Macaca mulatta: one gene and its partner. Each later gene encodes a partner of the first gene's protein in a complex. Links are inferred from orthologs where the notes say so. Each region holds a gene or a part of one and is shown in the gene's direction. Other genes may lie near its edges.

Region 1 (3,986 bases):
ATGTTCAGTTGACAGTGACCCAATAACACCCTTCTGAGGAACAATCAGGTGGAAAGACTGATTGCTAAGGAGGGAAGAGCCCACCCCTGATTGGGCTGTACCCTAGATTTCTTAAGGAAGGGACCAAGCCTTTTCCCATTTTATCTCCAGTGTTTGGCACAGAGTAGATGTTTATTAACTGCTTAATAAGTGAATCATCAAATAAATGAATAATCCCCTCTTCCTTGCTCTCACTTTAATTCCTCTTTGTTCATTCTTTTTCTTCCCTTCTCTCCTGTATTCTTTTTCATTTAGAACTTTTGTAATTGTTTATTTCTTTTTATGGAATATACCTGTTTATCCATTTTATAAGCTCCTTGGATGTGAACACTGGGCGTTATCTTACATTACCTCTCCCCAGCAGGCCTGGAACATGGTAGAACCGAATAAAGAATTGTTGATTGTGAAGTTAACCAGTGGAAACTAAATCCCTTAAATGGGATAATATAAATCCAAAAAGTCTAAATTATTTAGATTAAGATATACTCTGAGTATATTTTTCCTTCTTCGTAGGACTTTAAAACTTTAAATATTAGTGAGAAAAGTTGCTTTTACAAGTTGTTAAGCCACCATGAGAGTATTGCTTTTGAAATTTTGAACCTGAAGAGTTTCTTCATTTTAATTAGTGATGTTAATGTATTTATCTCTATTTTCATTACTACCTTATTATTTCACATAATAGAATGTTGTATTTTGTTTTCTTCAATATCAATGCAGGTACTATAGGATACAACCAGCGAAACAGAATTGATACTCTCATGTATCTACTAGCATATCCACAAAAACCCATGGTTAAGACAAAAACCATTGAATTGATAGAATTTGAGAAACTGCCAGCTGGACAGAATGCAACAGTTGCTGTGATGAGCTATAGTGGCTATGATATTGAAGATGCCCTTGTTTTAAACAAGGCCTCTTTAGACAGAGGTAAGTGAATTTTCAAAACTAATGCCAAAGGTGCTTTTTGCAGAGTTAGATATAGGGATGATTAATGTAGAGATCACTTGGTTAATGTCATTTCAAGTTATTTGAATTTTATGATATAGAAACAGGAGATGGTTGGGTTTTGATGTTGGCTTTCTTGTCATTTTTAATGAATAGTATATGGAGATAATTTGTTAAACATACTACTACAGAATATTTTTCTTCTCTGTTATTGTATTGGTTACGTGAGACAGTCCTTCAAAGAGAAAAAAAACGTAAGAATGTGTTTTACAGCAGGAATTACAATATATGAAATATGTGTTTTCACTGTATCTAGTGATATATATTATTAACAAACCTGTTTGAGAGGGCAGTAGCAATATCTGGATGTAAAAAGCTGTTTCTTATTTGCGTAACCTCATAATTTGGTACCTTCTTTGGCCAAGTGACGAAAGTTAAAAATATACGGCCGCAAACTCTGGCGTGGAGTTTTTCTGCTTTTCTTTCTGTTTTTGACAATTACTTTCGCAAGTCACCACTTCGTGATTTGTTAGACATCACCTGATCTGAAGTCTGACTTCTCTATTCATAATCTCGATTTCTCTTTTTCCTTTCTGGCATACCCACTATGCCTTCCCCTTCCCTCTTTGTAGTTGCTAGGCAGCCATAATAGTACTCCTAGACATGTGTCTTTGGCATTAATGTTGGCCACACTTAATTTATGCCTCTTTTTTTCCTCCAAATGACAACAGCCATGCTTTAAAACTAGATGTTTTCCTTTCTGATTAACTGGTAACATTTATGTGGAAATCTGAAGACTTTGTGATGTCTGTCAGAAACTCTGCAACCCAATTTAATGATCTGAGTTTACTGTCCGCTAGCTCTTAAGCTATCACCTGTGAATAAAATGTCTCTTTACACTTTGAAGAAAACAGTTCTTGATTTCATGCAGTTAAGATTCACATTGCACTCCAGCATGTTGCAGTTAATGGCTACTGTATGAAATTTCAAGATCATGAAATGTTTCCAAACCAGCTGGCATTCTGAGCCCAGTTTATTATGGCCATACACAATTTCCTAGGAGCCATGATGACTACGGCCTTGCTTAAAGACACAAATGTCTTCATCTGACGTCCAGTTGTAGAAATTTGTTACTTCATCTCACAGTCACCTTCATATTTAAAAAATTACATTACAGCCCTGAGATTTTATTTATAAATCCACTTTTACCTGATTGATTTCTAAAGTCACATTCTTAGATTTCTGCTTTTGGTGGAAAATTGTTAAGTGAAGGATTTTACAGCCATGCATTTATTTCATCAGTAATAACTGGCATTGCATCCTGAGACATTTTCTTATTTAAGTGAACTCTGGCATGGCTCAATATATCCTGAGGAGATTAGTAAGAGAATCTAGTTTAAAATAACTGCTTGGCCAAAGGGAAAAAAGAAAGAAATGTAGCCACAGAATCTTAGGAAATTATAGTGTTGAAGGAATGACAGCTGTTTTGGGTAACTCTACAACTCATGGATTTTTTTCTTTTAGGGATTCAGTGGTTGAGTTTTTTTGCCCCACCCAAAGGTTTTTCTTCTGTCCTTTTTGCTTATTTTTCTTCCTTTTATTTTTCGGATCCATTGGTAGACAGCTTCTTTTTCTTAATGTTCAGATTGTTAGTTGACTTCACAGCTTTTCCCTCATCCACTAGATAAATGCAATCTAAAAATGTCATTAAACTCCAATCTTTAGGGCAGAGAACTATTTTTCCCATTGAAATAATTTGATTGTTCTTTTTTCATTCTGTCTCTTCTCTGGAGGAAAATTAGTGTTTTTACGTGCTGGCTTAGAACTTGCTCTAAATGCCAAATTTTAAAAAGAAAAACTTTCCAGGGAAGGTTAGCAGAAGTTGTGCACCAAAAGGATGTGTGTCCTGGCTCGGGAGTCAGTGGCCTTGTGCTGTTTAACACAATTCTCAACTCTGCTGCCAGCTTGCTAGATGACCTTGGCCACTTAATTTCTCTGGACCTCACTCCTAGTGCCTGTGAAAGGGATAGGTTAAGCAGGTGATTTCTAAGGCCCTTTCCAATTCTAATATTCTATGGCTCTGTCCTCTGAAAGAATCACAGTGCTAGTCTTTGATTTCTCTCACCCTTCTCCAGTTGTATTCCGTGCAGAAAATGGTTGTAGAGATTCCAGTGTTTACACAGACAGTAGGTAGGGGACAAGTCCTGTGCCACTTCTTCAGATTATCAGATTTTTATTTGGTTTGTACTGGTCCCAGATTATGATCAAATACAGAGAAGCTTTGGGATTTGGGGGAGAGTGAGGTGGAGTGGATTGCTGAGTAGCACAAATCCATGTTTTCTTATAGCTTTGGATTACTGGTGGTTCTAATGCCCATTTTGGTTTCATTTTAGGCTTTGGGCGTTGCCTTGTATATAAAAATGCTAAATGTACATTGAAACGATATACCAATCAGACTTTTGATAAAGTAATGGGGCCCATGTTGGATGCTGCTACAAGGAAACCTATCTGGCGACATGAAATCTTAGATGCAGATGGTATTTGTTCTCCAGGTAAAAGCCTTTTGAAAGAAATATTTTTAATATATACCTTTGAAATCATGTGTTATTCCATAATATTTCTGAATATTTGACAAAAAGGGCAGAAAAACGTAACAACCTATAAAACCACTATCCAGACTCAACCAGTGAGGTCATTTTTGATGAATTTCCTTCTAGTTTGTTTTTCTATACACTATGTTTTTACCTATCAGTAATCTATGCTAACTGTAATTTTCTAGTTATGATTTTGAATAATAGAAAAGCCACTTTAAGGAAATATTTAGAGTAGTTCGTGTCCCTGCATCTGCACTGGTATTCTTCATTTACGCATTTAGCTTACAGACTACTTTAGAATTTTATCCCCCTGCAAAGGTATGACTCCATTATAATTACAAACTTGTAATGCATTTTGTTGATGAAACAAATAGTCCTTGCCCTTATGGGTCTCACAGGCTGGTGCAG
Region 2 (4,779 bases), on another chromosome or scaffold:
GGCTCTCAGAGTGCTGGGATTATAGGAATGAGCCACTGCACCCAGCTAACCCCATCAATATGTGAGTGTGGTTGTTGTTTTGAGCACTTCCTTACTTTTTGACACCTCAAGATGCTCTAGACTCATCCTGTGTGTTTCCTACCCTGTCCTAGAATCAGCTAGTAGTCCAGGGAGCCCTGGTTCCTTTTATTGGAAAATTGTATTAGAAACCAAGATCTGGGTGCTAAGTGTGCTCATTGCTGCTGGGATATCATTTCTCTTAAGTTTTCTTTTCATCTGGTGATTTTATTCCCCCATCCTAGCTGCCTCTGACTGGTTCCTCAGGATTGACAATAAGAGACAGAGTGAAAATTCAGTAGAAGGAGAAACTTTGGATTCATCAGTGTTCATCACAGTGGAATATACTGTCTTGGGGGAGAATGGATACCATCTCTTTAGGAAATGTCACCAAAAGCTGAATAACAATTCACAAAGTAGGGTCAGGGGTGGTGACTCACACCTGTAATCCCAGCACTTTGGGAAGCCCAAGCAGGTGGATCACTTGTGTCCAGGAGTTCGAGACCAGCCTGGGTGACATGGCGAAACCCCGTTTCTACAAAAAATACAAAAATTAGCCAGGCTTGGTGGCACATGCCTGTAGTTCCAGCTACTCAGGAGGCTGAGGCAGGAGGATCACTTGAACCTTGAAGGTGTAGGTTACAGCGAGCCAAGATTGCACCACTGCATTCCAGCCGGGGCAACAGAGTGAGACTCTGTCTCAAAAAAAAAAAAAAAAAAAAAAAGACACACATACACCAAACAACAACAAAACAATTTACAGAGTGAAGTCCTGCACTGGGAGGGATTTAGACTAGATGACCTCTAAGGGTCCTCCGAATTCTAAGATTCTGTGCTTCCAAGTGGTGTTTAAAAAGATCAATCTGGCCTCTCGTGGTGGCTCATGCCTGTAATCCCAGCAATTTGGGAGGCCGAGACATTTGGATCACTTGACATAATGAAATTCCATCTCTTAAAAACAAACAAATAAACAAACAAAAAAACAAAACAAAGAGCCAGGTATGGTGGCACACACCTGTAGCTCCAGCTACTTGGGAGGCTAAGGCAGGAGGATCACCTGAGCCCAGGAGGTTGAGGCTACAGTGAGCCATGATCACACCACTGCACTCCAGCCTGGGTGACATAAAGAGACCTTGTCTAAAATAAAATATAAAATAAAATAAAATAAAATTTGATTGTAATGTCTCTTTTCCCCTGGTTGACAATGAAATTGATGACTCATCCCTGTGCTCCCACAGTGTCTGACACTATCTTTTTCATGGTAGATGATTAATAAATGTTTCGCTGAATGCATTTCTTTGGATTGAATTGGGGCCTGGTCAGGTTTGGAAGGCCAGAGATAGAAAGAATTCAAAGGTTATACATATAAATGCAGTTAGTGACTGGGCATAGTGGCTCATGCCTGTAATCCCAGCACTTTGGGAGGCTGAGGCAGGAGGATCACTTGAGCCCAGGGGTTCGAGGCTAGAGTGAGCTGTGATTGCACCATTGCACTCAAGCCTGGGTGACAGAGTATCTCTAAAAATAAAAATAAATAAATGCAGATAGGAATAAACATCAAATTGTCTTAGGGATGTAGAGTTTTGTCCGAGGGTCTAAGCACTTTCTCCTTTGTGCTAAACTATATTGTAATTATCTGACCTGTTTGGGGGACCATGTCTCATTCATGTTTATGTTTCCAGAAATTCTCTCTCTGACACTGTGCCTTCTCAGTCAAAATTTGTTGAATGACATTGACTTTTTATGTCCCAGCGATAAAAGATTGAATGTCTTGTACCTCCTTGGCTTCCTGTCCATTCTACTACATTTCTTTTTCTCTTTGTTTTTGTCTTTATCAGGTTTTTTCACTGGATCTCTGAACACCCAGGCCCCCTCCACCATGGCCAGCCGGGGTGGGGGCCGGGGTCGTGGCCGGGGCCAGTTGACCTTCAACATGGAGGCCGTGGGCATTGGGAAAGGGGATACTTTGCCCCCACCCACCCTGCAGCCTTCTCCACTCTTCCCTGTGAGTCTCTCCACTTCCTTCCCAGACTCTCATGTGCCCCTGGCTGACTGTACATGATTCTGAATTCCTCCTGGACCATCATAAAACCATCCTCACTGGCCCTCTCTGTCTCTATACTCCCAATGCACAAGGGATGTTTTGCAGTCAAAGAAGTGTCCACCTTTATTTCTCCCCAGCTTTCAAAATGATATGTTACTCTCCCCATTCTCTTTCAGCCCTCTGCTCAGGGGAATATTAGATTAAATTGGGAGGAGGGGTCTTCCTAAATTTGTACTAGCATTTTCTCCCTGAACAGACCACTGCCCCTGCCTCTTTAGCCTTTGGAGTTCCGCCCAGTACCTTTGCCTTCAGGAGAGGAAGGGGAATATGTCCTGGCACTGAAGCAGGAGCTACGAGGAGCCATGAGGCAGCTCCCCTACTTCATCCGGCCAGCTGTCCCCAAGAGAGGTCAGTTGGAATGCTAGCATCATATTCTGAGTGCCTTCCGTGGGGAGTGCCCTGTGCTCAGCACCACTGGGGGCTGGAGAGGCACAGGAAGCATACTGTCTAACTGGGGAGATCATAATAGTTACTCCTGCATCTGAAATGCATTATAGTATTCATGGTTTGTTTTGAGTCTCATGATAGTTTTGGGACAGCGGGAGGTTAAATATTAAAATCCCATTTCTTGTGTGTAGGTGGGGGGATGTATTTTCTAAAAATTTATATATTTTTTATTTTTTTGTAAAATAGAGATGGGGTGTTCTTATGTTGCCCAGGCTGGTCTTGAACTTCTGGGCTCAAGAGATTCTTCCGCCTTGGCCTCCCAAAGTGCTGGGATTACAGGCATGAGCCACCGTGCCCAGCAAAAATTTTAACAATCTGGATATTAAAAGCACCAACCAACAACAGAATACTGAAATCGGCCGGGCGCGGTGGCTCACGCCTGTAATCCCAGCACTTTGGGAGGCCGAGGCGGGCGGATCACAAGGTCAGGAGATCGAGACCACGGTGAAACCCCGTCTCTACTAAAAATACAAAAAATTAGCCGGGCGCGGTGGCGGGCGCCTGTAGTCCCAGCTACTCAGGAGGCTGAGGCAGGAGAATGGCGTAAACCCAGGAGGCGGAGCTTGCAGTGAGCCGAGATCGCGCCACTGCACTCCAGCCTGGGCGACAGAGCGAGACTCCGTCTCAAAAAACAAAAAACAAACAAACAAACAAAAAAACAGAATACTGAAATCCTGGTTTCTTTTTTTTCTTTTTTTTTTTTTTTTTTGAGACGGAGTCTCGCTGTGTCTCCCAGGCTGGAGTGCAGTGGCGCGATCTCGGCTCACTGCAAGCTCCGCCCCCTGGGTTCACGCCATTCTCCCGACTCAGCCTCCCAAGTAGCTGGGACTACAGGCGCCCGCTACCACGCCCGGCTAATTTTTTTGTATTTTTAGTAGAGACGGGGTTTCACCGTGTTAGCCAGGATAGTCTCGATCTCCTGACCTCGTGATCCACCAGCCTCGGCCTCCCAAAGTGCTGGGATTACAGGCTTGAGCCACCGCGCCCGGCCGAAATCCTGGTTTCTTATTCCCTAGCATACTTTCCACTGCATCACACTATTTCTTAATACAGCCATGCCTTTGAACTAAGGGACAGAAAAAAAAAAAAAAAGTCATCATGGCCGGGTGCGGTGGCTCACGCCTGTAATGGCCAGCACTTTGGAAGGCTGACATGGGTGGATCACTTGAGGCCAGGAGTTTGAGGCCAGCCTAACCAGTATGGAGAAACCCTGTCTCTACTAAAAATATAAAAATTAGCCAGGCACAGTGGTGTGAGCCTGTGGTCTCAGCTACTCAGGAGGCTGAGGCACGAGAATTGCTTGAACCTGGGAGGTGGAGGTTGCAGTGAGCTGAGATCTCGCCACTGTACTCTAGCCTGGATGACACAACAAGGCTCTGCCTCAAAAAAAAACAAAAACAAAAACAAAACAAAACAAAAAAACACTGGCCAGGTGTGGTGGCTCACACCTATAATCCCAGCACTTTGGGAGGCTGAGGTGGGCAGCTCACGAGGTCAGGAGTTCGAGACCATCTTGGCCAACATAGTGAAATCCTGTCTGTACAAAAAAAAAAAATACAAAAAATTAGCCAGGCCTGGTGGCAGGTGCCTGTAATCCCAGCTACTTGGGAAGCTGAGGCAAGGAGAATTGCTTGAATCTGGGAAGTGGAGGTTGAAGTGGACCGAGATTGCGCCACCGCACTCCAACCCTGGGCGACAGTGTGAGACTCCATCTGAAAAAAAAAAAAAAAAAATCATAATTTTAGGTGGAAAAGAAACAGGTTAGAAGAGTGATAAGGGGCCGGGCGCCGTGGCTCACGCCTGTAATCCCAGCACTTTGGGAGGGCGAGTTGGGTGGATCACGAGGTCAGGAGATTGAGACCATCCTGGCCAACATGGTGAAACCCTGTCTCTACTAAAAATACAAAAATTAGCTGGGCGTGGTGATGTGCGCCTGTAGTCCCAGCTACTCAGGAGGCTGAAGCAGGAGAATCACTTGAACCTGGGAGGTGGAGGTTGCAGTAAGCTGAGATTGCACCACTGCACTCCAGCCTGAGCGACAGAGCAGGACTCTGTCTCAAAAAAAAAAAAAAAGAAAAAAAAAAAGAGATAAGGTCCTCACTGAAGCTGACCCCCTGGGCTCTGAGTTTGGGGTAAGGAAACAGATAATTCCTGAGTATTGAGAGGGCTGG

Evidence for each region.
Region 2: POLR3B (region 1) and POLR3GL share a complex: the UniProt entries of both Homo sapiens proteins name them as parts of the RNA polymerase III (Pol III) complex. The link is inferred for Macaca mulatta from reciprocal best matches to the Homo sapiens genes POLR3B and POLR3GL.

The regions. Positions count from the first base shown.
Region 1 is NC_133416.1:113,670,668-113,674,653, forward strand, and holds part of POLR3B (DNA-directed RNA polymerase III subunit RPC2), read left to right. Parts: intron 1-756; coding exon 757-966; intron 967-3,377; coding exon 3,378-3,536; intron 3,537-3,986. UniProt on the Homo sapiens protein: Catalytic core component of RNA polymerase III (Pol III), a DNA-dependent RNA polymerase which synthesizes small non-coding RNAs using the four ribonucleoside triphosphates as substrates.
Region 2 is NC_133406.1:119,326,788-119,331,566, reverse strand, and holds the start of POLR3GL (DNA-directed RNA polymerase III subunit RPC7-like), read left to right. Parts: upstream 1-1,892; 5' UTR 1,893-1,936; coding exon 1,937-2,062; intron 2,063-2,379; coding exon 2,380-2,509; intron 2,510-4,779. UniProt on the Homo sapiens protein: DNA-dependent RNA polymerase catalyzes the transcription of DNA into RNA using the four ribonucleoside triphosphates as substrates. Specific peripheric component of RNA polymerase III which synthesizes small RNAs, such as 5S rRNA and tRNAs.